4 linked regions of the Arabidopsis thaliana genome follow. The protein of the gene in region 2 interacts with the protein of the main gene of each other region in a pairwise test. Each region holds a gene or a part of one and is shown on either strand. Other genes may lie near its edges. The genes, in order: AT3G13670, SLAH2, AT5G47570 and AT3G17620.

What was found.
Region 1: the proteins of SLAH2 (region 2) and AT3G13670 interact in a protein complementation assay, tested with the Arabidopsis thaliana proteins (one large-scale study listed by BioGRID).
Region 3: the proteins of SLAH2 (region 2) and AT5G47570 interact in a protein complementation assay, tested with the Arabidopsis thaliana proteins (one large-scale study listed by BioGRID).
Region 4: the proteins of SLAH2 (region 2) and AT3G17620 interact in a protein complementation assay, tested with the Arabidopsis thaliana proteins (one large-scale study listed by BioGRID).

What each region holds. Positions count from the first base shown.
Region 1 is NC_003074.8:4,467,061-4,474,981, reverse strand, and holds AT3G13670 (Protein kinase family protein), read right to left. Parts: upstream 5,830-7,921; 5' UTR 5,549-5,829; coding exon 5,165-5,548; intron 5,060-5,164; coding exon 4,931-5,059; intron 4,822-4,930; coding exon 4,748-4,821; intron 4,631-4,747; coding exon 4,561-4,630; intron 4,472-4,560; coding exon 4,416-4,471; intron 4,192-4,415; coding exon 4,120-4,191; intron 3,970-4,119; coding exon 3,875-3,969; intron 3,803-3,874; coding exon 3,736-3,802; intron 3,648-3,735; coding exon 3,518-3,647; intron 3,431-3,517; coding exon 3,212-3,430; intron 3,116-3,211; coding exon 2,973-3,115; intron 2,818-2,972; coding exon 2,643-2,817; intron 2,556-2,642; coding exon 2,465-2,555; intron 2,421-2,464; exon of another isoform or gene 2,356-2,420; coding exon 2,198-2,355; exon of another isoform or gene 2,095-2,197; coding exon 1,906-2,094; exon of another isoform or gene 1,808-1,905; coding exon 1,748-1,807; 3' UTR 1,442-1,747; downstream 1-1,441. Other genes in the region: AT3G13672 (TRAF-like superfamily protein), read left to right, coding at 639-737, 809-1,441; AT3G13662 (Disease resistance-responsive (dirigent-like protein) family protein), read right to left, coding at 6,512-6,517, 7,377-7,892.
Region 2 is NC_003075.7:13,917,127-13,922,834, reverse strand, and holds SLAH2 (SLAC1 homologue 2), read left to right. Parts: upstream 1-2,482; 5' UTR 2,483-2,530; exon of another isoform or gene 2,531-2,704; 5' UTR 2,705-2,712; coding exon 2,713-3,084; exon of another isoform or gene 3,085-3,170; coding exon 3,171-3,941; coding exon of another isoform or gene 3,942-3,980; exon of another isoform or gene 3,981-4,041; coding exon 4,042-4,073; intron 4,074-4,160; coding exon 4,161-4,545; 3' UTR 4,546-4,670; downstream 4,671-5,708. Other genes in the region: AT4G27980 (trichohyalin-like protein (DUF3444)), read right to left, coding at 1-1,180, 1,299-1,390; UBC9 (ubiquitin conjugating enzyme 9), read left to right, coding at 5,542-5,701. UniProt on the Arabidopsis thaliana protein: Slow, weak voltage-dependent S-type anion efflux channel involved in maintenance of anion homeostasis.
Region 3 is NC_003076.8:19,291,556-19,297,135, reverse strand, and holds AT5G47570 (NADH dehydrogenase ubiquinone 1 beta subcomplex subunit), read left to right. Parts: upstream 1-2,335; 5' UTR 2,336-2,469; coding exon 2,470-2,607; intron 2,608-2,682; coding exon 2,683-2,769; intron 2,770-2,855; coding exon 2,856-2,951; intron 2,952-4,210; coding exon 4,211-4,267; 3' UTR 4,268-4,549; downstream 4,550-5,580. Other genes in the region: ASG7 (uncharacterized protein), read left to right, coding at 1-2,188. UniProt on the Arabidopsis thaliana protein: Accessory subunit of the mitochondrial membrane respiratory chain NADH dehydrogenase (Complex I), that is believed not to be involved in catalysis. Complex I functions in the transfer of electrons from NADH to the respiratory chain.
Region 4 is NC_003074.8:6,025,200-6,030,048, reverse strand, and holds AT3G17620 (F-box and associated interaction domains-containing protein), read left to right. Parts: upstream 1-2,354; coding exon 2,355-3,551; 3' UTR 3,552-3,603; downstream 3,604-4,849. Other genes in the region: CHX19 (cation/H+ exchanger 19), read right to left, coding at 1-560, 651-848; AT3G17626 (structural constituent of ribosome), read right to left, coding at 1,555-1,674, 1,829-1,870; RBL14 (RHOMBOID-like protein 14), read right to left, coding at 3,876-4,664.

The sequences.
Region 1 (7,921 bases), on a different chromosome or scaffold from region 2:
TTTCCAGGAGGATAGAGACATAAACGAAGCTCGGATTGTATCGTTCTTTTTAGCTTTTATTCACATCCGAAAGTCCTGTAGTTTAGATTCTGTTATCTTGCGGTTTTGAGTTAATCAGAAACAGAGTAATCAATGTAATGTTGCAGGCTAGATCTTTCATCTTTGGAAATTTATTTTTTTCTCATGCAATTTCTTTAGCTTGACCATGAGTGACTAAAAGATCAATCAGTAGCAATGATTTGATTTGGCTAAGAGACATTTGTCCACTTGGCATCTTGATTTGGATGGTTACAACTTGCAAGACCCAATTGGATACTTGCTATGACAACTCCAACTCAAGAGTGTCGTGTAACTAAGAACCTTGACTAATTTGTAATTTCAATCCCAAGTCATGTTACTATATGTTTTTTTGTTTGTATTATTTTCTCTCCTACAATTAAGCTCTTTGACGTACGTAATCTCCGGAACCAACTCCTATATCCACCATTTACTCCACGTTGTCTCCAATTATTGGACGTTGAAACTTGACACAACGTAAACGTATCTATGTGGTTGATTGTATGTACATATGTACAAACGTACACCTTTCTCCTCTTTCACTTCATCACTTGGCTTGTGAATTCATTAATTCCTGCGAAATGGAACCTCGAATCAATGACCTTCAGGTGGAATCTCGGGTTCATGAGTTGCTCGATTTTCCGGTTCATACAAACCAGATATCCTCTGCAATCTACGAGGTATGTATATCATATCATATTGATACTACTACAATAAGAACACAACAAGTAATATACAGATCCTATTGCAGTGTCCCAACGACCACATCGAAAACCCTAAGAAGAAACCGTACAATTGTCCACACTCAGGAGCCAAGTGTGATGTCACAGGAGATATTCAAAGGCTACTACTGCATCTAAGGAATGATCACAATGTTGAAATGAGTGATGGGCGTAGTTTCAGTCACAGATATGTTCATCATGATCCTAAACATCTTCATCATGCTACTTGGATGTTAACAGTAAGTTATATAACTGATTATCTTGCTCTGTTTCTGCAACTTTGTGAATTTTTAAGTTTTAACCCACTTGAAACGATGCAGCTTCTCGATTGTTGTGGTCGAAAATTCTGCTTGTACTTCGAAGCGTTTCACCTGAGGAAAACACCAATGTACATGGCCTTCATGCAGTTTATGGGAGATGAAGAAGAGGCAATGAGCTTCAGCTATAGTTTGCAGGTCGGAGGGAATGGCAGAAAGCTGACATGGCAAGGCGTGCCGAGGAGCATTCGTGACAGTCACAAGACGGTTCGTGATAGTCAAGATGGCTTAATCATCACTCGCAAATTGGCTTTGTTCTTCTCTACCGACAACAACACCACCGACAAGGAGCTGAAGTTGAAGGTTTCAGGTCGTGTATGGAGAGAACAGCCTGTTTCGATATGAATTCGATAATTAGGTTACAGAATTGGACAACTATAGAATATTTGGTGACAAAAATATCTTTTCTTGATTTAAAAATTAAATATAGCAATTTCGAGGGAAATGTGTAGGTAAACTGGTGATTATGGCTCAATCCCCTTCACAAGGGGGGAATAAACAACACAATCACCACATTTTTGCTTCACAATTCAACTGAAAAAAAAGAAGAAGCACAACAGAGCCTGAGAGGCCATAGGGTTGGATAAGGAATAGGAGCCGAGACTTAGAAACATATTTCTCTCGTCCTTCAACAGTTTTTACTAATAAGTCTCAAGATACAGTTCGGCCATAGCTTAACGATGCAAGGTAGAGATTCTTTCCCCATTTTTCCTGCACAACAGAAAATTGCATCTCCGGTATTGTTCATGGGAAGGGAGAAAAAGAGTTCAAGATATTGATTAGTAATCTTTTATAGCTGCTCTACTCACCTTGACGTGTGTGCTGGGGAATTGAGAGGTACGTAACGTCTCTTGTGTCTCATCAACAAGTCTACGACGTGGGATGCTTAGGATGAGAGCAGCTTGATCGGTTGTGGCTGCTGTTGATGTGATTCTGAATCCACCATCCCAACGCCTGTGGATGCCTTCACTTGGATACAGAAAATCAAGTTCCACAACCTGTAGAGGAGATATAAGCGAAAACAGGAGAATTAGAAATCAACGCGACAGATCCAAAACTGAAGGAAACGGAAGAAATTCATCTATATCGGTGAAGTCTAACCTGTTCACTGTAGCCAGAATTGCGGGACATAACAACACCCCATCGATTTCCAGCTGTTGCCATTGAGGTTACATGGAAGCCTTCTCTCCATTTCTTGTTTATCCACTTGAACGGGAATGAATCGCTTACTTTGTAAGACTGCTGTGTATACTGCGTACCTTCATAATTCATTTGAAAACCAAACATAGAATAAGCCACAAATTCAGAGACTAGTAAAATACCATAATGACGAAAGTGTTCAAAAGTATTCATGAAAAGTGTAGATACCTTTTGACATGACAACTAAGGAGCTTCCATTGCTTGCACCAGCAATAGAACTAATGTAGTAGTTCTTCTCCCACTGCTCCATAATCCATTCCTGATTCAAAACAGAATTCACTCTCAGGTAAGATCATCTTGACAGAACACAGATATAAAAATAACTAACAGAGAAACATCAGACAACCTTGTGCAAGAATACAGGAGAGAGTTCATAGACTTGGTGCGTGAAGCCAGTTCCAGCATCCATTATCAATGCCCAGAGATTCGAACATGATGATACACAGCTTATCAACAAACCATCTGCAATACCTCTCTCAATATGCTGTGCCAGTCTTATATCAGCCACATTATAATGATACCTGGTTAAACACATAAATTGTGAGTCCAAAAATAGTTTTAGACACATTAAGGCCAAAAATCCAAGATTATAATATAACCAAGAGAAAAAATGAGACACAAACGCAGTCCCAGCAGTTAACTGACTGTATAAATAATTAACCATGAATTTTTTTACCTCTGCTTCATTGGTTGCCTGGCATTGTAAATCGATATCCATTGCGTTGCAGGGACTCCTAGACGGACCTTTTTCCTAGGGGCATCTTCTTCTTCCTCCCCAATGCTCAACCTACCTCGCTTCTGGCCAACTTGGAATATGATCTAGCACAAAAGAAAACAATTACAAGATGTTAAACAACAACTCCTAGATATCCAAATAGGAACGAAAGGGAAAGATATACAGCATGAAAATGTCACCTTTTGAGCACCCTCTGTGTTTATAGGCCTAATTGCCGGATTTTCGCCCAAGAGGTCTTGAAACAGAGATACTAACTTTCCATAGTTGGGTTCTTCATCAAATTTCATATTTACCACGATCTCAAGAAATTGTTTGAAAGGAGGGGGACAAAAACAACAAAGCATATCCGGCGATGTTGCCATCTTCTTTTTGCAAACAAGGAATGACTTGTTATCTCCCTGAAAATTGAGTAAGAGACAGGATTAGCAGAGAAAGAATCATGCAACAACATGATTCTACAAAACAAAATGATAGGTCTGCAGTACCTGATATCCTTGCCATGGCAATCTACCTCGGTGAAGAAAGATCAGTGTATATGCTAATGATTCCAGATCATCCCTTCTGCTAGCAGTTCTCCCTAAATGAGCATGTGCACTTGCGTATCTAACTGTCCCTCTATAAAAATTAAGAAGAGAGAGATTCAACAAAAGGTAAGAGCGAGTATAAAACAAATTATATTAGGTAACAGTAGAAAATATATTACCTAAACATATCAGGACGTTGATCATATTCAACATGTTGTCCGCTACCACCTTCTCTCCACTTTGTAGCTGAAAAGTTGGTTGAAAAATGAGAAAGGTAAAGAAGAACCTAGCAAGAATAACAAAGAGAATGAAATCAACCTAGTCCCAAATCAACAAGAAACAGTTTTTTCTCTTGAGACGTTGAAGGCTGGCCGAGTAAGAAATTTTCTGGCTTAACATCCCCATGCACATAACTGAAACCGAAGTAAAACATGACCTGTTAGGCTAGTTAATAGAGAGAAAACATAAGAACTTAGAGGTGCCGAGACTCCAAACAGGATATCAGAAGAAACCTCGGACAACCTAATTAAATACAAAAACAAAAATAAAGTTCAATTACAAACCCTTTTGCATGCATCTTTTCAAGGATGGAAAGTGATTCAACCGCAATGCAAGCTACCATTTCCGAGGACATTCTGCAAAGCAAAAAGGGGGAGAAGAATTGTTAGGGAAGTCGATTTTTTAAAAGCAAAATGTTACTCAGTATGGACTTATGTATTTTTTTAAAAACAGGGAGTAACACCACATTTCAAGTCACAATTCCAAAAGAATCCAAATTAACTTAGGATACTCATGTATGGAAACAACGCTAATTGAAAAAGAGACAAGAGCTCCCCAAGGATGTGTAATGGAGACTCACGCTTGCCCTGAAGTATTCCATAAATCCCATAAGCTAGGCCCAAGCATGTCCATAACCTGAGGCCAAAACAAAGAAGAGAGGATCTAACTTCAATGATACAGACAGGAGAAAAAAACAGAAATAGGAGAAAGGGGGAATCCAGTACCATGACATAATAGTCTCCTTGCCTGCCTTTGAAATGTACTCTAGGGACTCCATGGCTACCACCCAAGGTGCTGTTCACAATAAAAGTAAAATGTCAATTTCACATTTCAAGTCAAGGAAGCACCTACAATCCAGGTAAATGAATTTAAGAAACATTGAAAGAAAGACAGGAGAATCGAAACACCCACTTGTAAACCTGCCACTCATGTGGAGGACCATAGTTGCAACCCTTGCTGCTCCTATGCTCAAACTTTAGAGCAACCTATATAAGAAAGTGAAGATGTGAGACACTGTAAGCATAACTAAGCTAATAGAATGATATTTATGGTGACAATCCTCCACAGCAGTAAACGCAGACTGAGTTATATTACCTCCAAGATGCTAGCTCCTGCACTACGATCATTACCGCCACTAATACGACGTCCGACAAATACTTGTCCAAAACCACCCTTCCCCAGCTTTCTCTCAACTTTATATAGTGGTGATCCTCCAACTTGAACCTGATACGGAATCGTTAGTCATTACCATAGAAAGATGATAAGCAAGCCTACAATGAAAAGTTCAATAACCCCAAACAACACAAAAACTATGCAAATCAATTATACCCTCTCAGGGAAAGGAGCAGTATTTCCTTCTTCTTCCTGAGCAGCCGCCTTGTTAGAGCCACCACTATCATTACCAATAGCCATATCTTTCTTCTCTTCTTCAACGACTACCTCTTTACCCTTGTTTTTATCGATATCGCTATCCTTAGACGGCACAACAACCGGAATCTCCTGAGGTATCTCTTTATCTTCCTCCTTTAATTTCCTCGCCGCTAATCTAGTCCTCGGCCTCTCTGCAACTCCTGTAACTCCGCCGGCAACCGGTTTTGGAGCTTTAACGGTACTCTTCTTCGGTTTCTTTTCTGTAGGTGTTTGCGGAAGCTGATTGGGAGCTACAGCATCAGTAACACGGCCACGGCGGACTCCACGGCGAAGCTCCGGCATAGCTCAAACCCCATGCAATCGAGACGGGACACGAAGAGTCCGATCATTATAGTCCTCCGAAAACGAGGGCCTGGGTCATGTCGGATTTGGTAAGCTATTTGATATATAATCGGAGATTCGATTTGCCGATGATGAAGATGGCGATTTAGGGTTACGACGGTTCAAGTTTGCGATGAGAAAAATAGAAGTTTATGGATGAAAGTTCCCAAAATGGAGAGAGAAAAGAAGACAGGCGATGTGAAAAAGGCGATATTTATGCCACGTCAGATATTCTGAAGAGGAAGAACCAAAAAAATTTGGAAAAATCAAATTAATTTTCCTTATGACAAAAATTATGTAATAATGATGTGAATGGACTTTTTTTGCGTCACACGGTCCGTGACTTGCGACTAATTTGGAAACAAACGTTTCACGTTTTTGTTAAGAAATAAAAAATTTGATTTCTTTTCTTACAATGGTTTTATATGTTTACTATTTTGAATGTCTTTTCTATTTCAAACAAAAAAGTAGCTAAATGTATTATTTAATTTCTCCGTGTAATATCAAAATTGGTTTTAGACAATAAATAGGTTTGATTTGGTGTTTTTTTTTTAAGGTTTGATTAGCTCGTGATTGGGCTAACTAATCATTATATTTATTTGAACATTTATTTTCTATCAAAATTTCAAATAATTTATTCGCTAATCAGTTGATGATTTTCCAAATTAACGCGGAGTAGAGCCTTTGTGCCACTTAATTTGACCAAAAAATGTATGTTTAATGTATATATAAACAACTACTTATTTATTTATTTTTTAGATGAATAAAATCAAACCATTACAAGATAAAATACATTATTTAACTTGGGAAAAGACAATAACACTCTCATAACAAAACGAGACATAAAAACAAATAAGTAATGAAATCAAATGAACAATATTCCAAACTTAATTATTTCAGTAATGCAGAATATAACAATTATATTCAACACTAGATTCACCGCGGAGACAATTCATTTTTTAAAATTAATATATGTAAAAATTTGTAAATTATTTTATAGTTTACAATTGTTACTAAGTAACATCCTGTCAAACTCGTCCCGCCAAACCCGTCCACAAAAAAAATTTATTTATTTTATTAATGTTGATCTTATTTATAATATATTTATGAATCATTGTCAAAATATTTTATTCGTTGCGGGACGTTGAATCCATACATTTTTCGCCAATTAGTTAATATATGTTCATTCTTAAAATTTTGAATCACAAAATATGACGATTTTTTTTTTGAGATTTTTTAAACTCTATATATTATATAATGATGTTAATTTTTTTGATATATTAAACTTTTTATAAATTTAAATATTAATAGTGTTTTATGAATTTTAAATATATAAATAATAATAATTAAAAAATTAATATTTTTTGCCTTTTAGGTAATGATATAATAATTCTAAAAGCAAGAATTTAGAAGATTTAAATCTTTAATTAAATATTTTCATGCCTGAATAATTAATGTCAGTAGCATGACATTGTAAATAAGTTCAAATACATGATTTGTTTATTTAAACAAAAAACGTTTAGTAAGAACAATATTTATTTAAACAAAAAACTTTGTTTTAAAATATTGTTAACAAAATACTTTTATGCTAATTTTAAAGGATTGATGTGCAGTTTGTTTGGATTAAATTTGATTGATAATGTGATTGACAATTTAAATTAAGAATTTAATGTAAAATTAATTATTTTGAAAAAAAAATTTAATGCTAATGGCATTGGGTTGTAAATAAGTTCAACTCTAAGATTTATTTGTTAAAATGGCTGCAAAAATGTATATGTAGATTGGCAACACCGGCCTTGAGATCAAACGACTTGGTGCGAGCCTCGACATAACCTCTAGCAAATCGAAAGATTCCACTACCTCCGACCACCGGCATTTCCCTAACCTTCGACATCACCACGTTCCGCCCAAGAATCGTTATCGTACTCCCATTGTACTTCCCCGTAGTGAAAGCAAAGTTCATCACCATCAAGAAGCCTATCTCTCCTTGGGCCGCTGCTACGTACATCCCTTGGGCTTGGCCCACCACAGTCGCATTCCTTGGCACATCGAATGTTAGTGGATCGTCCATCATGGTGATCGATCCGGATAAGGAAGAGTTCAAGACCGGCTGTTGGATCATCACGGAGCTAGGGTTTCTACCGTTTACAGAGTTGTGCCAATAGACTCGGAGATGAGTGAGTTTCTCCTTTTTGTAAGGGCCAAGGTGTTTCCCGTTCATGGTTCTTCCCAATTCATCTCCGACGGAAGCAACGGCATAGAAAAGGAGGATTTGTGCGGCGAAGATAAGGATGAGGTTAGTCATGTTGTGGTTTTTGTGTCTCTAGATGAAGG
Region 2 (5,708 bases):
ACAACCACTGAGAATAGACTGCTCATCTTTTGTAGTTTTGACATGTTCAAGTAGTGTCACCTGCAAACTCAACTGGGACTCAAAAATCTCCCTGATCTGGGCATAGTTCCTAGGCATATCATCTCTAGGATCATATAAAGCCCATACTTGATCAACAGCAAATGAGCTCATTGACTTGCTAAAATCATTAAGCTTTGTATCAGGACAAGTTAATGAGTTAGGATCCTCATAACTTTTATCTGTGCAGACAATTCCTTCAATGTCTCCATCATTTGCTTCCTGAGACTTCTGTTTCTTGGCTTGAGGAGTACAAGAATCAGCGTCACTATCATTCTTTACCAACAAAGGAGGTTCAATTTCAAGGTTGGATCTCTTCCGAGACTCTGCTTCTACAAGTTGTGGTCTTGATGTTTCTTCTAATTCCATCTGCTTCAATTCAAGCTCTTTCAATCTTTTTTCCAATGTCTTCTCCTTAATCTCAAGACCTTTTCTCATCAGTTCAGTCTCCTCTCTCAATTTTTCAGCTTCTTCTTTCATCTTCAGCTCCAAAGTCTCCTCCTTTCTCTTCAATTCAGCAGTCTTCTCTTTGACAGCTTCCTCAAGTGCCCTGAGATCCTTCTCTCTTGCCTCACTTTCCTCATTCCGTCTCTCAGTCTCAGCTCTTTGTTTCAGATGAAACTCCTTCTCTGCCTTCTCTAACTCACACAACTTCTCAGAAACTCGGCAAGCCTCCTCTTTCCTCCCATCAAACTCACTCACCAGCTCCTCAAGTTTCTTCGTCGTCGAACGGAGAAACAAACCAAGCTTATTCTCCTCTGTTTTAAGTTGTGTCACTAAATCTTCACTCTGCTTCTCAAGCACCAATCTCATGATACTTGCTTCAATGACCAATCTCAAATCAGTTTCAATCTCTTTCTCCTCTAAAACACTTAACCTTCGAGATATTGACTCTTCAAGCAAACCAATCTCCTTCTCCTTCATTTCAACCACTCTCAGTCGTTCTTCCTTCTTCTCCAGCGAGGCGACCACGTCATCAAACTGAAGCGAAAACTCAAAAATTGATGAAGATTTTGCCTGAATCTTGTCTAGGATTTTGAGATACCCTTCACTGTTTTGCTCAGTAACGTCTGATTCTACTGAATCCCCTTGCATTGCCATATTCTCAGAGACATAAACCCTACTTTTTAGTTAACAAAAGATGGGTCATAAAGGAAGAAACTTTTCATGAAAAAATACAAAAATGAGAATGTACAGAAAGAATAAATAATAGAAACAAAAAGTAGGAAGAGAAAATAAACCTCTCTTGAGTTTGGTCTTCGGTTGACACCAACGGTGGTTTCTGAGCCGGCGTGTCTTCTCCGGGAACTAGTAAAACTTTCGGTTTCAACATTTTTTTCGCTGTACGAACGGAGCCTTTGAGCTTATCCAGGAATTTGAAGAAAAGTTTTAAACTTTCTTGGTAAGACTCAGAAATTTTGGTAAAGAAGAATGGCTTCTTCCCATCTCTCTTATGAAACAAGAAAAAATAGAATGCTTTATTTACTGAAAATGGAGGGAGAAAGAGAAACTAGTGCTATTTTGTCTTATTACCTTATAAATACAGCTTTCCTTTTTGGCCGTTCGATTGTATTATTTTAAGCCGTTGGATTATTGTACATCAGACGTCAGCTTTCTATTAACTCTCGGACAATGGGGTTTTGTTGTAGCCCGTTGGGCGTTGGATAAAGATCATGAGATTTGTGAAAGTGAAAGGATCAGCTAAATGGGCTTCGTAGGATGATTTTTGTTAGCCCATCAAAAGGTTTATGAAAGAAAAAAAAGGAATCAATCAGCCCAATATTACAAATTACAGAACCTCATTTTCTTAAATTACTATCACTATAATTCTAAACTTTCAAGATGGCAAAACAGTAGTAGGAAAAACATTCTATAATCGATTTTATTGACGAGTGTACGGAACGGATACTAAAAATCCGCAGACGCGACTAAACGAGAGTGCAAAGCCGCCTCTTTTATTGACTCCTTGACTTTCGAGTCCACTAGGACATTCCGAGGAACATTATCTCTACTCTATATATGTCTTTTTTACTTGTTTGCATATTTTATCCGAACGTTTTTGTACGATTCAATTTCAATGTATTCTTACGGTCGTTGTCCTTGTATTTATGGATTAACAGTGCCTTTAACAATAGCCTGGGACTACCTTCAGATTGGAGTCCATCACTTGATCATATCGGTTAAGATGTAACTGGACAAATATAACTCGAGAGACAAGAAGTAATGGTCAAAACAAAACTGCTCAAATAAAAACAAAAAAGTGAAAGACAAGATACTTTATCTGGACAGCACTAAAGCCAAAACACACAATATCTTTGGTTCTGGCCCACATATTTACCAAAATACCATTTTCAGAGGACTTATTTGACTTCACATACACAAAAGAGTCACACCGACTGATCAGATCCTCTGTTCTTTTCAAACACTGATCAGATCTACATTTTCTTTTTCCATCACTTTCTCTTCATTTTCTGTAAGTTTATATATACATTTATGTATGTGTGTGTGGTTTGCATGTTCGTTTTCGTAATATGTTAACAATAATATACAACTAACCCATTTGCAAAAGTTGGATGTGACGTTTTGATTCGGTTTTTATATATTTGGATCTTTATAAATATAGTTCCAAATTTATGTACTAAAACAGGGAAAACAATGAATAATCCAAGATCGGTTAGTCCTTTGGTTTCTCCAGCAAACCACTCAGATCTATTAGAAAACCAACGTCAATCCGGTTCTGGAGATTTCTCAAGATTAGAGAAACGAATCGGAGCGAGGAAGATGAAGTTTCATTCCAAGTCTATGCCCCGAGGTGCCATGTTTCTTGATCAAGAAGCATCTAGAAACTTCCACGACAAGAGGTATGACCTATTCAGGACCATGTCCGGGAAACTCGAACGTCAGATATCGAATTTACGTGGGAAACCCACTGAGAGTTCGTTGCAGGATCATAAAGAGATTACTGAATCTTTAACCGCTGATAGATACTTTGATGCTCTTCAAGGCCCCGAGCTTGAAACTCTCAAGGTATTTTATCATTCATTTTTGCTCATATGGTTGAGTTATACTTGTGTTTGGTTACTTCTATTTATGGGTTTATTGGTGGATGACAGGAGAAGGAGAAGATAGTTCTGCCTGAGGACAAAACGTGGCCGTTTCTTCTACGGTTTCCAATCACATCATATGGGATGTGTCTTGGAGTAAGTAGTCAAGCCATCATGTGGAAGACCTTAGCAACCACAGAGGCAGAGAAGTTCTTGCACGTGACTCAAGTGATCAACCACGTGCTCTGGTGGATCTCTCTCCTTCTCCTCCTCGCCGTTTCTATCACTTACCTCTTCAAAACCATCCTCTTCTTTGAGGCGGTTCGCCGTGAGTTTCGGCATCCGATCCGAGTCAACTTCTTCTTCGCTCCTCTTATATCAATCCTCTTCTTGGCACTTGGAATCCCACACTCTATCATCTCACATCTTCCCTCTACACTTTGGTACTTCCTTATGGCTCCCATCTTGTTTCTTGAGATGAAGATTTACGGACAGTGGATGTCTGGTGGACAAAGACGCCTCTCCAAAGTCGCCAACCCTACAAACCACCTTTCCATTGTCGGTAACTTTGCAGGAGCACTTCTAGGAGCATCCATGGGGTTGAAAGAAGGACCAATATTCTTCTTTGCCATAGGGTTGGCTTATTATTTGGTTTTATTTGTGACTCTCTATCAGAGACTTCCCACGAATGAAACCTTACCTAAAGAGCTTCACCCTGTTTTCTTCCTCTTTGTGGCTGCACCAGCCGTCGCTTCCATGGCCTGGACCAAGATCTCTGCCTCTTTCGATCTCGGTTCGCGTCTAGCATACTTCATCTCCTTGTTCTTGTACTTCTCTCTGGTAGTTTTTGTTTTCATTAACAGAGTTCTAGTGAGCTAGTGCTGAGTTTCTTGTGGTACAAGAAATGTAACAGCTTTACTTCTTGTGATTCTTGTTTCAGGTTTGTCGGATTAACCTTTTCCGGGGATTCAAGTAAGCTGTTTCTTGAACTGCAAGGATCTAATTTACCAAACCAAATAACATACATGTTATCTGACATAATTATTCAAAAAATATCAGATTCTCGCTAGCTTGGTGGGCTTACACGTTTCCAATGACGGCAGTGGCCAGTGCGACGATCAAATATTCAGACGAAGTCACGGGAGTGGCAACGAAGATACTATCGGTTGTGATGTCGGGAGCAGCAACTCTGACGGTGATAGCTGTGCTTGGGTTGACGGTGATGCATGCTTTTGTCCAACGTGATCTCTTCCCCAATGACGTTGTCATTGCCATAAGTGCAGAACAACCGAAGCAGAAGAGATGGTTCAAACATCTCACAAAAGAAAGTTATGGAAATAATGAGAGATGTCCCAAGATTTTGGATCCGGAAGATAATCAAATAGATTTAGAATCTCCTCCTTTAGTAAATGTAGATAGTTCCACGGTTCAGAATTCAAATTAACAAAAAAAAAAAATGTGATGAAAATTCATGATCTTTGTTAATTAACTTCTCATGTACAACACTATAGCAGTGCTAATAATAATAAATTAGCGAAAATCTTAATTATTTTGGTAAATTTTAGTTGCATACCATTCTTTTTACTGATCATGATAAATTACTTCTTCATTTCAGCAAAAATATAAAAACTATAATCACTTTGGCTTATTCTTTCGTTAGATTTAGTTATTATAGTATTGTTTGATTCAATTCAAGTAAAAACTATTTGAGTTATAGGCAAACTTAGTCACACCAACCGCAACCTTCACAATTTGTCTTAACAAGTTAGATCATATTTCGTGGAAATAATGTCTAGCTTAACATCTAATTTGTCGAATATATCTTAATGTCACTGTTATGTTAATTCATCCTCCATCTTTATACTTTGTCACCAAAACGAATCGTCTTGTCACATATGACATATGACAGTAAAAACAATGTAATAATTTCCTACACATCACGTTTTTGAAAAAAAACATCCTTCATCAACCGCTGGTCAATCTTGAAAGCATGGTAAATTCATTCAAATTACGTCAAATGATTCGTTCTACAAAACTCTCAGCCGTCGGATCATACGACTTTTGACTAAACCACTTAAACGACGACGCTTCGACGGGATTGGAAAACATCGGCGCCACATGATGATGATACGAACAACCGCGTTATTTTATATGTGCCGTAGGTACAACGCTGAGTTAGGCCCACCCAAAAAAAAGTTTGACATTATTTAAAACGAACGAATCTGAAAGAATAAAGCAGCAGAGTCCACTAATCAAACGAACCAGAATTTACCCGCACCCTATTTATTGTGGTCGCGACCACACAACATTTTCAACTTCTTCTTCTCTTCCGTTTCACCACCCTTTCTTCTCCTAAATTCGAAGAACCAAAACCAAAAACGTGAATTCGGAGTTATGATTTTGGATCTTCTTCCCGTCTTTATATATAATTTTCTGGGTTATGTTTTTCTTCTTCTTAATTCATCTGACCATTGGATTGGTTTTCGATTGCAGAGTCTTCAATTGGAATTTGGATCGTGGGATTTTGGAAATGGCATCGAAACGGATTTTGAAGGAATTGAAGGATCTGCAGAAGGATCCTCCTACTTCATGTAGCGCAGGTACCTA
Region 3 (5,580 bases), on a different chromosome or scaffold from region 2:
CTTACCTTCGATTGGTATCTACGTTGCCGTAGCTTCACTCATCTGTGGTCTAGCCATGGCCGCCGATCTTATACACGGCTTCCGACACCGCAAATTCTGGTTTCCCTGTAAGTTCTTCTCTCTCAACGCCACTTCTCTGACTTTCATCGCTGTCGGAATCAAACTCTCTGTGGATCTCAACACTTCCATGCCGAGTCGTCAGGATCAGTTAGCTAAACTCAGCAGCACCGTCTTTGTATGTACTGTGATGGGTAATTCGATGCCTTCTCTGGGTATTATGGACAACAATGATCTCCTCATGAATCTTATGGCTTTAGGGATTCTTGTCATCACTGATGTTGTTAACATCTGTATTCAGTTGGGTACTGGTGCGATTTATGTTTTCTCTGAGGAACATTTTCTGGTCGTACTTCTCATGCTTCTTATGCTTATGATCTTGTGTTTCTCGGCCACCACAGTTCCCACTACGAAAAGAATCTTGGAGAGTAAGTACAATAAGAGGTACGACGTTGCTATGAAGTGTCCTTTGGCTACAGAGAGAACAGTTGCTAAGAAAATTCAGCAAGATTTGTCAAAGTTTTGGATGATGGCTCATACTAGTAGCCCTCAATTCGTGATGGCTCGTTCTGTCACGTGCACTGCTTCTGGTTTCTTCTGTCTCCTGAGTGCCATTACGCTTGGTGAAGCTATGGTTAGGAGTTACTTTTTAAGACCAAGGTCACTTGGGTTCTGCCATGGAGATTCTGATTACAAATGGTCAACTTCTCTGGTTCTTGTTTGCCAGACTACTACTGTAGCTATAGGGACCATTGCTCCTGCGATCAGATGGTTCACGGCTGTGAACTTCAGGTGTCCGATTAGAGGAAAGAAGTATTATAGAGATGAGTTTAGAATAGAGAGTTACTGGACACATTGGTTCTCAGAGAAGAAGCAACATCCCTTAAGCCTTTGGATCCTCAAAGAACGCAGATACAGGAAGACTGCACACAATGCAAAACGCTGGATATTGGATGTATGTATTGTGATACAGTATGTGATTGTGTTTGGTAGCAAAATTATCCGTTACATCTCGGTATCCTGTGTGGGTAAGATCTTGTTGTGCTGTCATTTCGCCTTAAGGACCAGTAATACTATCACACACAGTGAGTCAGAAAAATCCGATTCAAATCCAAGCTCGAGACAGGACCTAGCGAGTTTTGTCCTGCACCTTGAAGGAGAGGACCCGCTGGTGGATGTGATGGTGCGGAGCAACCGGGAAGCGACAGATCATTGGATAGAGAAGGGCAGAAAGAAACAACCAGTGAATCTGATAGAGCTTTTGGAAGCAACAACACCCATTTCAAAAGGATTTGAAGGGATTGCAGAGTTCGACAGCAACAAGGTGGCTTCTCTGGCCCACGGAGAACCGCCCAATTGTTGGGCTCTCCCGCTTGTAACACTCACAAGTATTGCTGTTGCACTTCCCGACATCAAGCCCTCCTCCCTGAAGAAGTTACTCAATGCTGTCAACGAGGCACTGGAATATGTCAACAAGTTTGAATGCGTCCTGGATACCGGAGGAGAGTCAGTTAACCTCAGGAAAGCTGCTGAGGTCGTTTGGCTAGGTGTTGATCTCTATCACAAGTGGTTTGATGTGGATCTTCGGAAACTATCAAAGCAACAAAGAAATCCAGAAGAAACCCTTCGGGAGCTGATGGAAATCGCGAAGAAAGAGTTCTCAGAGTCATGGCAGATGAACCTGATGGTATGCATGAAGCACAAGCCCTCTCACTGGCCCATCAAGACTCTAGCAGCCAACTCCATGTACCGAATCTGTCAAACAATTCTACTAACTTACGAATCAAGAGACTATGGAACAGGGGAAGCTCTGTTGAGAAAGCTGGAAAGCACAATATCAGACATAGTGTCAGGTTGCTTTTGCAACGTAGCACAAGTGATATCCGTCAAGTGTTTGGTGTCAGCTGTAGAAGTAAGGGAAGAATCAGTAAGAGGAGCAGCTCTGCATCTGGGAAGAACAGAGAAGATTCTAGAGATCTTAGAGAGAAGAAGGTTACCTAAATTGAGATGTGATCAGATGAAGAACATCGACGAATGGAGAGCATTCTACAAGATTAACTCTTGCGAATGTGATAATAACAACAAGACAGTTTATCCCGACTCGGACGAACTGCGCCTCACTGTTGAGTAGTTTATAGATATGTTAAAGGTTGTAGCTTTTTCTGTTTTTGTACCTTTGTGTATTCACCACATGAATCTCTTTGTATATAGTAAGAATCTGAAGCTTTTTGACACACTTGAAGTGTATGTGTTTGCTCATTTCGTTGGTTTTAAAATTCGTTAATCGAAATTACAATATTGACCTCTTTTAAAACGATGGCGTTTCAGGGAATCGTTTCAGTGACTGCGTCTTTCTTCTCTCTCTATCTGTAATTTGATTGGATTTTGGATCGAAACCTGAAAAGAGCGAAAATGGCTGGAAGATTGAGCGGTGTTGCGTCACGAATCATGGGTGGAAACGGCGTCGTTGCCCGATCCGTCGGTTCTTCTCTCCGTCAACGCGCCGGAATGGGTCTCCCCGTCGGCAAACACATCGTCCCCGATAAGCCGGTGAGTCAAATTTCTGTTGTAAATTTCTTGTTAGATTCTTCTGAAAATCTGATGTTTACAAATTGTGCGGGTCAGCTATCGGTAAACGACGAGCTGATGTGGGACAACGGGACTGCGTTTCCAGAGCCTTGCATAGATCGGATTGCTGATACCGTCGGAAAGGTTTGGTTACACGATTTCTAATTGCTGGTGATTCTCGGTGTAAAAAGAGATTGCTTTTCTGATTGATTTTGGATTAATGTGAACAGTATGAAGCATTGGCATGGTTGAGTGGCGGATTAGGGTTCTTTGTTGGTCTCGGTCTGCTCGCTGTTTTGAACGACAAAGCTTCTAAGGTTCCATTTGTAAGTTCAAAGCTTTCAACTTTCGAAATTATAATCAAGCCCATTTTGTTGTCCTGAGTGTGATGATCGAAGTCATGATTATGCTAAGATCTATCATCCCTATGCAGCTGTTATTATGTATGTTGTTCAACTCTGAATTTGATACATATGTTTGGCATTGGCTTATTTCTGAGAATAGGTTTTTGCTGGAATCTTCAGAAACTCATTAACTAAATGTGGACAGAAAACATAGGAATCTACAAAATATGCTCGCGTAACAGAGAATGTGTCAATGTTCTTTTCTTTATTTGCTGAATTGCCGCAATATTTAGCTTTCAGTTCTGCATTTTGTCTGTTTATGAACATGAACAATTCTTGCTGTTTGCTTTTGCATCTGACCAAAGTTACTGGACTAGATGAATCTTATGTCCGCATTGCTTCCATAATCCTGTCTTAATTAATTTGAGCATGTACGTTGTAGTTAGGAACACTTGAAAGAAACACCCACAGTGTTCTTGGGAACTCGGTAAATGCTTAAGCGTATGCTAGAGGTGTATGTACCAGCAGCTATAATCTATGTTTTAGTTTTCTTAGTGTCCACTGGCCAAGAATGAAAAACTCTGTATCAAAGGTTAATAGGTTATACTGTGATGAGTCTTGTTTTGAAGGATTCCGAGTAAAAGACTTAGGCCTAAAAAAGGTGCTCTGGCTTTTTGTCTAGACATTGGTGCTGTTCATTTACTCTAGAAGTTGTTCTGTGGCATCTCTTAGAGGTGTAAGAAAGACATGAAGGCTCTTTGAGGTGCATGAGCAGCTAAAATCGATGAGTTGGTTCTCTTAGTGTCGACTGGCCAAGAATCATAAACTTTGTACAAAGGCTATACTATAATGAGTTTTCTTTAAAGGACTTCGAGTTATAGAAGTTGAACACCACACCGGGGCTAAGAAGTTGATCTATGTCTTCTTGTCTATACATGAGTTGAATTGCTGTTCTTCTTTTTACTCCAAATGTTACTTCTCTTAGTGTCCGTTGGCCAAGAATCATAGACTTTGTATCAAAGGCTATTATGATGTGTCTTGTTTTGAAGAACTTAGGGTTATAGAGGTTGAACAGCACTCCAAGGCTGAGAAGTTGCTCTATATCTTCTTGTTTATACATGAGTTGAATTGCTGCTCTCTTTTACTTTAGAATTTGTTCTGTGGCATATCATCTCTCTGCTTTTGTGTCATTGTGGAACTTGTTTTCCATATCATGTTAATCTCTTACTGTGTTGTTGCAGACACCGAGAGTGTATCCATATGACAACCTGAGAGTTGAGCTTGGAGGAGAGCCATAGAGACCCATCTAAGTGATCTGCTCATCAAAACAGGAAGCGTGTTTTCTTCACTGCTTTGTTCTTTAAAATGTTTGTTGTTTCCTGCTTAGAACTTGAAGACAAAAGAATAAAAAGAAGACTTTGTTTTTATTATATGCGTTGTCTCTGTAATTAACAGTGACCAGTGAGAGAGATCCATAAGAGAAGACTTCTGGTTCAGGAAATCTTGAGTTGTGTTTTGTAACTTTTAGAAAACAATCGTCTCGCAATTCAGTTAGCGCCATGTGTCGAACCAAGTTTGAGCCTCGTACGACTTCAATCAAACAAAGGCTACAATAAAAAGAAAAAAGAAAAAAACAGAAAGACAAATTAAACCTAATGGGGCATGTGAGTGGGACATTGAGAGAAACTCGAACTTGTTCGTATCCGTCTTGGAATTGAAACTTTGGTTTTATATCCATTACGTATTCGGTATTTCTTTCCTCTTCTGTATATTATTCATATCTTATACGCATTTATTTAGTTCTCTTTGTTTTCTCTGATGATTATCTCTATCAAAATTCATCACGACAAGTAGTTTAGTAAGAAATTCGTATTTGTAAACATAGATCTTATTCTTACGGGTAAAAATTAATATGATAAAAGATTGGTGTGACTTGTCTAAAATTTTTATACTAAGAAGAATACTTTAAGAAGCTCTAATTTGAAATTTGATAAGTGACTGTGGGATGATGAATTGGATTTGACTTGTACAAATACACGTCTAATGTAGACTTGTCACAATAAGGGGCAAGTTTAGAGACTACATAGTCTACAATGCAGATGATTAAAACTATAGTTGATAATCATAGAATCTTAAATAAAAATCATAGAATCTATGGACTGAAACTTTCCAAGTGATGGAATCAAAGACAGCCACATGAGTCAAGGATTTCTTTCAATCTTTTCAAATATTCCATAAGAGTAAATAATAATAGTTTCATGATCAAAATCATCAATGTGATCTGCCTATGTGTCATTTGTACCGGCTCTTGTTCAACCTGACTGTTTTGGACCCCTTCAAAACAAGATTGTGATTGGTACCACACCTCTATTTTTCTCTCTTATTATGTTATATCCAGTTATATTTGAGGGAATAGTTCTTATAAGTCTTCCTTCTCTTTGTTGGCAAACTGGATATAGCAAATCTCATCGTACGTATATCTTTACATGCATGTGTGTATGTGTGCTTATCTTCTTTAGACCAAGTGCATCTATATCTCTTAGAGAGATTTGACAGACAAGTTAAAAAATCCAAATACATGTCGATTCTTGAACATTTCTAAGAAAATTTG
Region 4 (4,849 bases), on a different chromosome or scaffold from region 2:
CTAGCCATATAAGCAAGCAGAGGTTTGATTGCCACAACTGCAAAGATCACGAATCCAGTTCCACAGAGAAGAACCCAAACAGATACAAGAGGAGAAGTCCCATCTCCTGAGAGAGCAATAGCAAGCGCAAGGAGTATCCAAGCTGCAACATCGTTTACTCCCGCTGCAGACATTGCCATACGTCCAATGTCAGTTGTTAGAAGCTTTAGCTCAGCTAGTATACGAGCAAGCACAGGGAAGGCAGTGATTGATAAGGCAACACCCATGAAGACAATAAAAGGAAGCTGATCGACTCCTTTGCTTATGGTGGCACTGAGAACAAAAGATGTGCCTACACCCACTATAAAAGGAAGTGAGATCCCAGCTATGGCTATCAATAGTGATTTCTTTCCAGTTTTTTTTATTGCTGCAAAGTCAAGCTCAAGCCCAACTAGGAACAAGAAAAACAGAAGACCAATGTTGGCGAGTGTGTCTAAAACGGTCAAGCTCTTCTTTGGGAAGATGGTGTCAAGATAGGCCTTGCTTCTCCCTAGTGCAGAAGGTCCAAGCAGTATCCCTCCCTACAGAACCATCCCTTTTAGTCTCTTTTGCTATGTGATTTCATCAAAACAGAAAAAGAAAAATACAAAGAGATTGAGTAGGAAACTCACAATGATCTCAGCAATGACTCGGGGCTGTTTGAGAGGCTTAAGAAAGTAAGCTAAGAGCCTTGTAAACACAACCACCAAGACGATTTGTAGGATGATAAGAGGAAGCGCGAAATCAAGAGGGCTTTCGTTTTGGAAGGCTCCATTGGAGGTAGCCTTCATTGGACCCGGGCATTGCCCTGTAACGTTGGTGCTTGCCATCCTAGTGGAGATCTACTTACAGGTTGATGATTGGTCAAGAAACGAGATACTGCTTCACCCTTCAATACTGCCTTGGCTGCTCCCTCATTGCATTGCCAAACGAAGTATGAGACCTGAATGGGAGGAAAAAAAAGAAATCAAGATTTTATTCTGTTCTGTTACTGTTTTTATTAAACAGAATCTACATTAAAGAAGTGAGTATATAAAAGGAAAAAACAGAAAACTAATAACGTCTATAGTTTGCTAATAATAGGTAGATGAGATAGAAGCGGACATACCAACTCCAGGGTGGGCATATACCTCGCACTTTTCTATTTATAGACTATCAGTTACTTAACTTCCAACCATATCGCATCTATACTTCGCAGATATGAACTGCCTTCACTGCGCCGAAGTTTTCGTCTCTGTCTTTGTCCTTCTGTCCTAAATTTGCAAGCACTTGTACCTGTCTCTTAACTAAGCAGCACATTTGATGTCTTACCTTCTGAAGCTTTGTAAACATCAACCATTTTCAAATATATTATCATCGTATAGACGATATAAACATTCTTGAGATGCATAAGTAGTAAGAACAAATGAACACATTAAAAAGGAAGAAGTTAACACTGTTCCAAGCCGACTAATCTAAATTTCAATCATGGGTTCTATACAAGCAAATTTCTGAGAAGGACAAAACAAAAAAAGACTTAAAATTGGAGACCGTGTTCTATTTGCTGAAGCAGCTAAAGCCATGGTAAGTGTAAATTGCACGGTCAAAGGCCACCTTTGTGATCCCATTCTCTACGCAGGATTTTTCTATAACTTCTCCAACTTTCTTAGCCATTTCCTAATCAATTCCAAGAAGAATCAAAGTTAGACAGTGTCCAAGAGAAAAACAATTGAAGCTAAGGGTCTCATGCTAAAACTTGAAAGGTTTCGGCTAGAGAATTTTGTAGATAGATTGTAGTTGAATTCAAAGCAGGTGGTAGTGAAGAACTCACAATGGTAGAACCAGTGAGCAAAAGATACAGAGCCTTGGCCATGGTCTGAGAATTGAAGGAGCTTTAAGCCACCGTACTGAATTGGAATCGGCGTCGAGGCTGTTCTCAGCGAGCTCAGACGCTGGATTACATCACCCTCTATATTTTGTAGGTTTCGAATCTTCGGTGGCTCTCTCGGTTCAATCGCCGCAGTCGGAGAGGAGAGTCTTCCTCCTCCATCTCCACCGCAAGAAGCGACCGTCGATCATCTCCCCCGCCATATACAAATGAGAATCACTAAAAAGTTTTTAACTACAGTTGGGCTAAAAGCCCAATAATAAAGCCCATAAATGAAACGACATCACAGTCATATAAATAAGAGTTCAAAAAGATGAATAATTCCGGGAAATTTTTAGAGGGCAGAGTTGTGTTTCGGCCCAGCTTGAGTTAGGGTTCCTGTGGGGAAACATGAGAGCTTTTTACTGAAGTTTCAAACCTAACTAATTTGTGTTACATCGATCCTTGTTCAAATTTGAAAGATTTGAAGATGATGTCCGATCTTCCAAGAGATTTGTTGGAGGAGAGACTCTCTAGGGTTCCGGTGAAATCATTGAGAGAAGCGCGATTTACCTGCAAAAATTGGAAAACATTATCCAAAAAGCGGAGCTTTACAAAGAAGCACCTTGCTCAGGAAGCAACATCAAGGGAAAGTGAGTTTAAGGTTGTCATGGTCTTGCATTGTAAGGTTTATCTAACGAGCATCAACCTCCGTGGAATTCACAACGGCTTTGACCCGTCTATAAACCGTCAAGCTAAACTTGTTAGCCTAAACGGTACAGATCAGATCGATATATCTGAAGTATATCACTGCGACGGTTTACTGTTATGTATCTCGAAAGACTACACTAGGGTCGTGGTTTGGAATCCGTATAGGAGCCAAACTTTGTGGCTCAAACCCAGTAGTCCTGACCATAGAATGGACTGGTATATCTGTGCTATAGGATACGAGAAGCGTAAATCAAGCCTACGCTACAAAGTTTTGCGATTCGTTGATTTTGCCGAAGAAGAATTTGTTGAGTACGAAATATACGAGTTAAAGTCTAATTCATGGAGGGTTCTCGATGTCACTTCCGACTGGGAAGTAGAGTTTTATGCACGAGGTGTCTCTCTCAAGGGAAATACTTATTGGTTTGCTACAGACAAGTTTCCAGAAATCAGCAGTAATCTTATACATAGTGTTTATTTCTTGCTCTGTTTTAATTTTACATCGGAGAGATTTGGGCCGCGTCTTCATTTGCCGTGTTACCCTATGGATGTAGATACTGTGAGTCTTTCTAGTGTTAGAGAAGAGCAACTTGCTGTGTTATTTCAGCGTAAGGACAACTTACATATGGAGATTTGGGTTACGACTAAGATTGAACCTGAAGAGGTGATGTGGAGCAAGTTGTTCTTAGCAGTGGATATGCAACCACTCACTGATTTTAAGTTTGGAATTGCAGATGCGAGTTTCATCATTGACGAAGAGAAGAAAGTTGTTGTAGTCTTTGCTAAAGACAAAGATGTAATGTATCCCACTCACAACACAGCTTACATCATTGGAGAGGATGGATATTACAAAGAAGTGGATCTCGGAAAAACTACTGATAAAATTCGAGATCCACTTGTGTGCTCGTATGTTCCAAGCTCAGCGCAAATCAAGCAAGGAGGCAAAAGGAAGAAAAAAGGGAAATTGATTACTGATTAACATTTATATCTTGCTTTGTGATCTTCTTCTTTCAACAAAATTTGGTTTGAAATAGGATAAAATTTTGTTAAAATCGAAAGTCTGTGAAACTGTAAGTTTGGTGTGAAGATACTATATTATCTGAATCACTCGCTACTTTCAGCAATCTAATCAAAGGACCAGTTCACGTAGAACCAAATCTTCAACAACAAAAGAGAAGACAAATTGAAGAAACAGATCGAAAAACACGACCACTAACTCTGCTATTCATAAGCTAATGCAATGAATGATTCAACAAAGCTTCATTCACAATCCTTCCTCAGCTTTAAGAATGCGCTCCCGAGATCAACTAAACCTCTCTACTCTTCGACGGCGCAGCTCATCTAAAGGGAGATCATTAGAAGAAGAAAGTGCTGGTCCCTGATTCAGTGACCATCCATTTCCTCTAGCCCGTCCCGAGCCACACATCTCGCAAGCACTTAACCAACCAGAATTGTCATATGTACACGACTGACATCTCCAAATACCAGGTCCTGCTATCCCAGTCTGACCTCTTCCCACTCTTCCTCTCCCCGTAATCCTCCTTCTCCGAGACCTAACCATACCATTCAGAAACCTCAAGGGCCACGTCACCAATCGAGATACACCTCTAACCGCCATAGTGACTGGATCTGAGCCTGAGTAAGAACCTTTCAGCTTCAAATAGATAATACCAGCAAGGATTCCACCCAAATGCCCAAGAAACGAAGCGTTAGGTACAAACATCTGCACTAGAATCAATTCTGCCCAAGCAGCATACTTTGTTGGAACCAAGATACCATACACACTTGAGTAATCCTCAGCTTGAGAATTAAGAACAACTTTCATAGCAAAGAGAACACCCGAGAACCCAACCGCATACTCGTTGTAGTAAGCTCTGTCATAGTCAAACAAGAGAAGAAGCGATTTGGCTAACAACAATGTGACTCCTTGAGACATACCAATAAGAGTAAAGACCATTGAAGCAAACTCACTGCTTCCCATTGATGTCTCAAGCTTGATACCTTTCCAGAGAAGTGACATCATGTTATAGACTAAGTGAGGCTCGTTAACATGGTAGAACGCTGATAGAAATAAACGCTTCAAGTCCTTATGCTGTTCAACAAATACACATCAAGATTAAAAAAAAAAACTTTAACAGAGAATAGAATTAATCAATCAAGAATGATCTAATTAGATATCGAAGAACAAAATCCCTAATTCTCCAGATATTGGTACAAATTTCCCAGGAAACTCAAATTCGAATTTCAGATCGAAATCGGTCAAATTGCAATCAATTT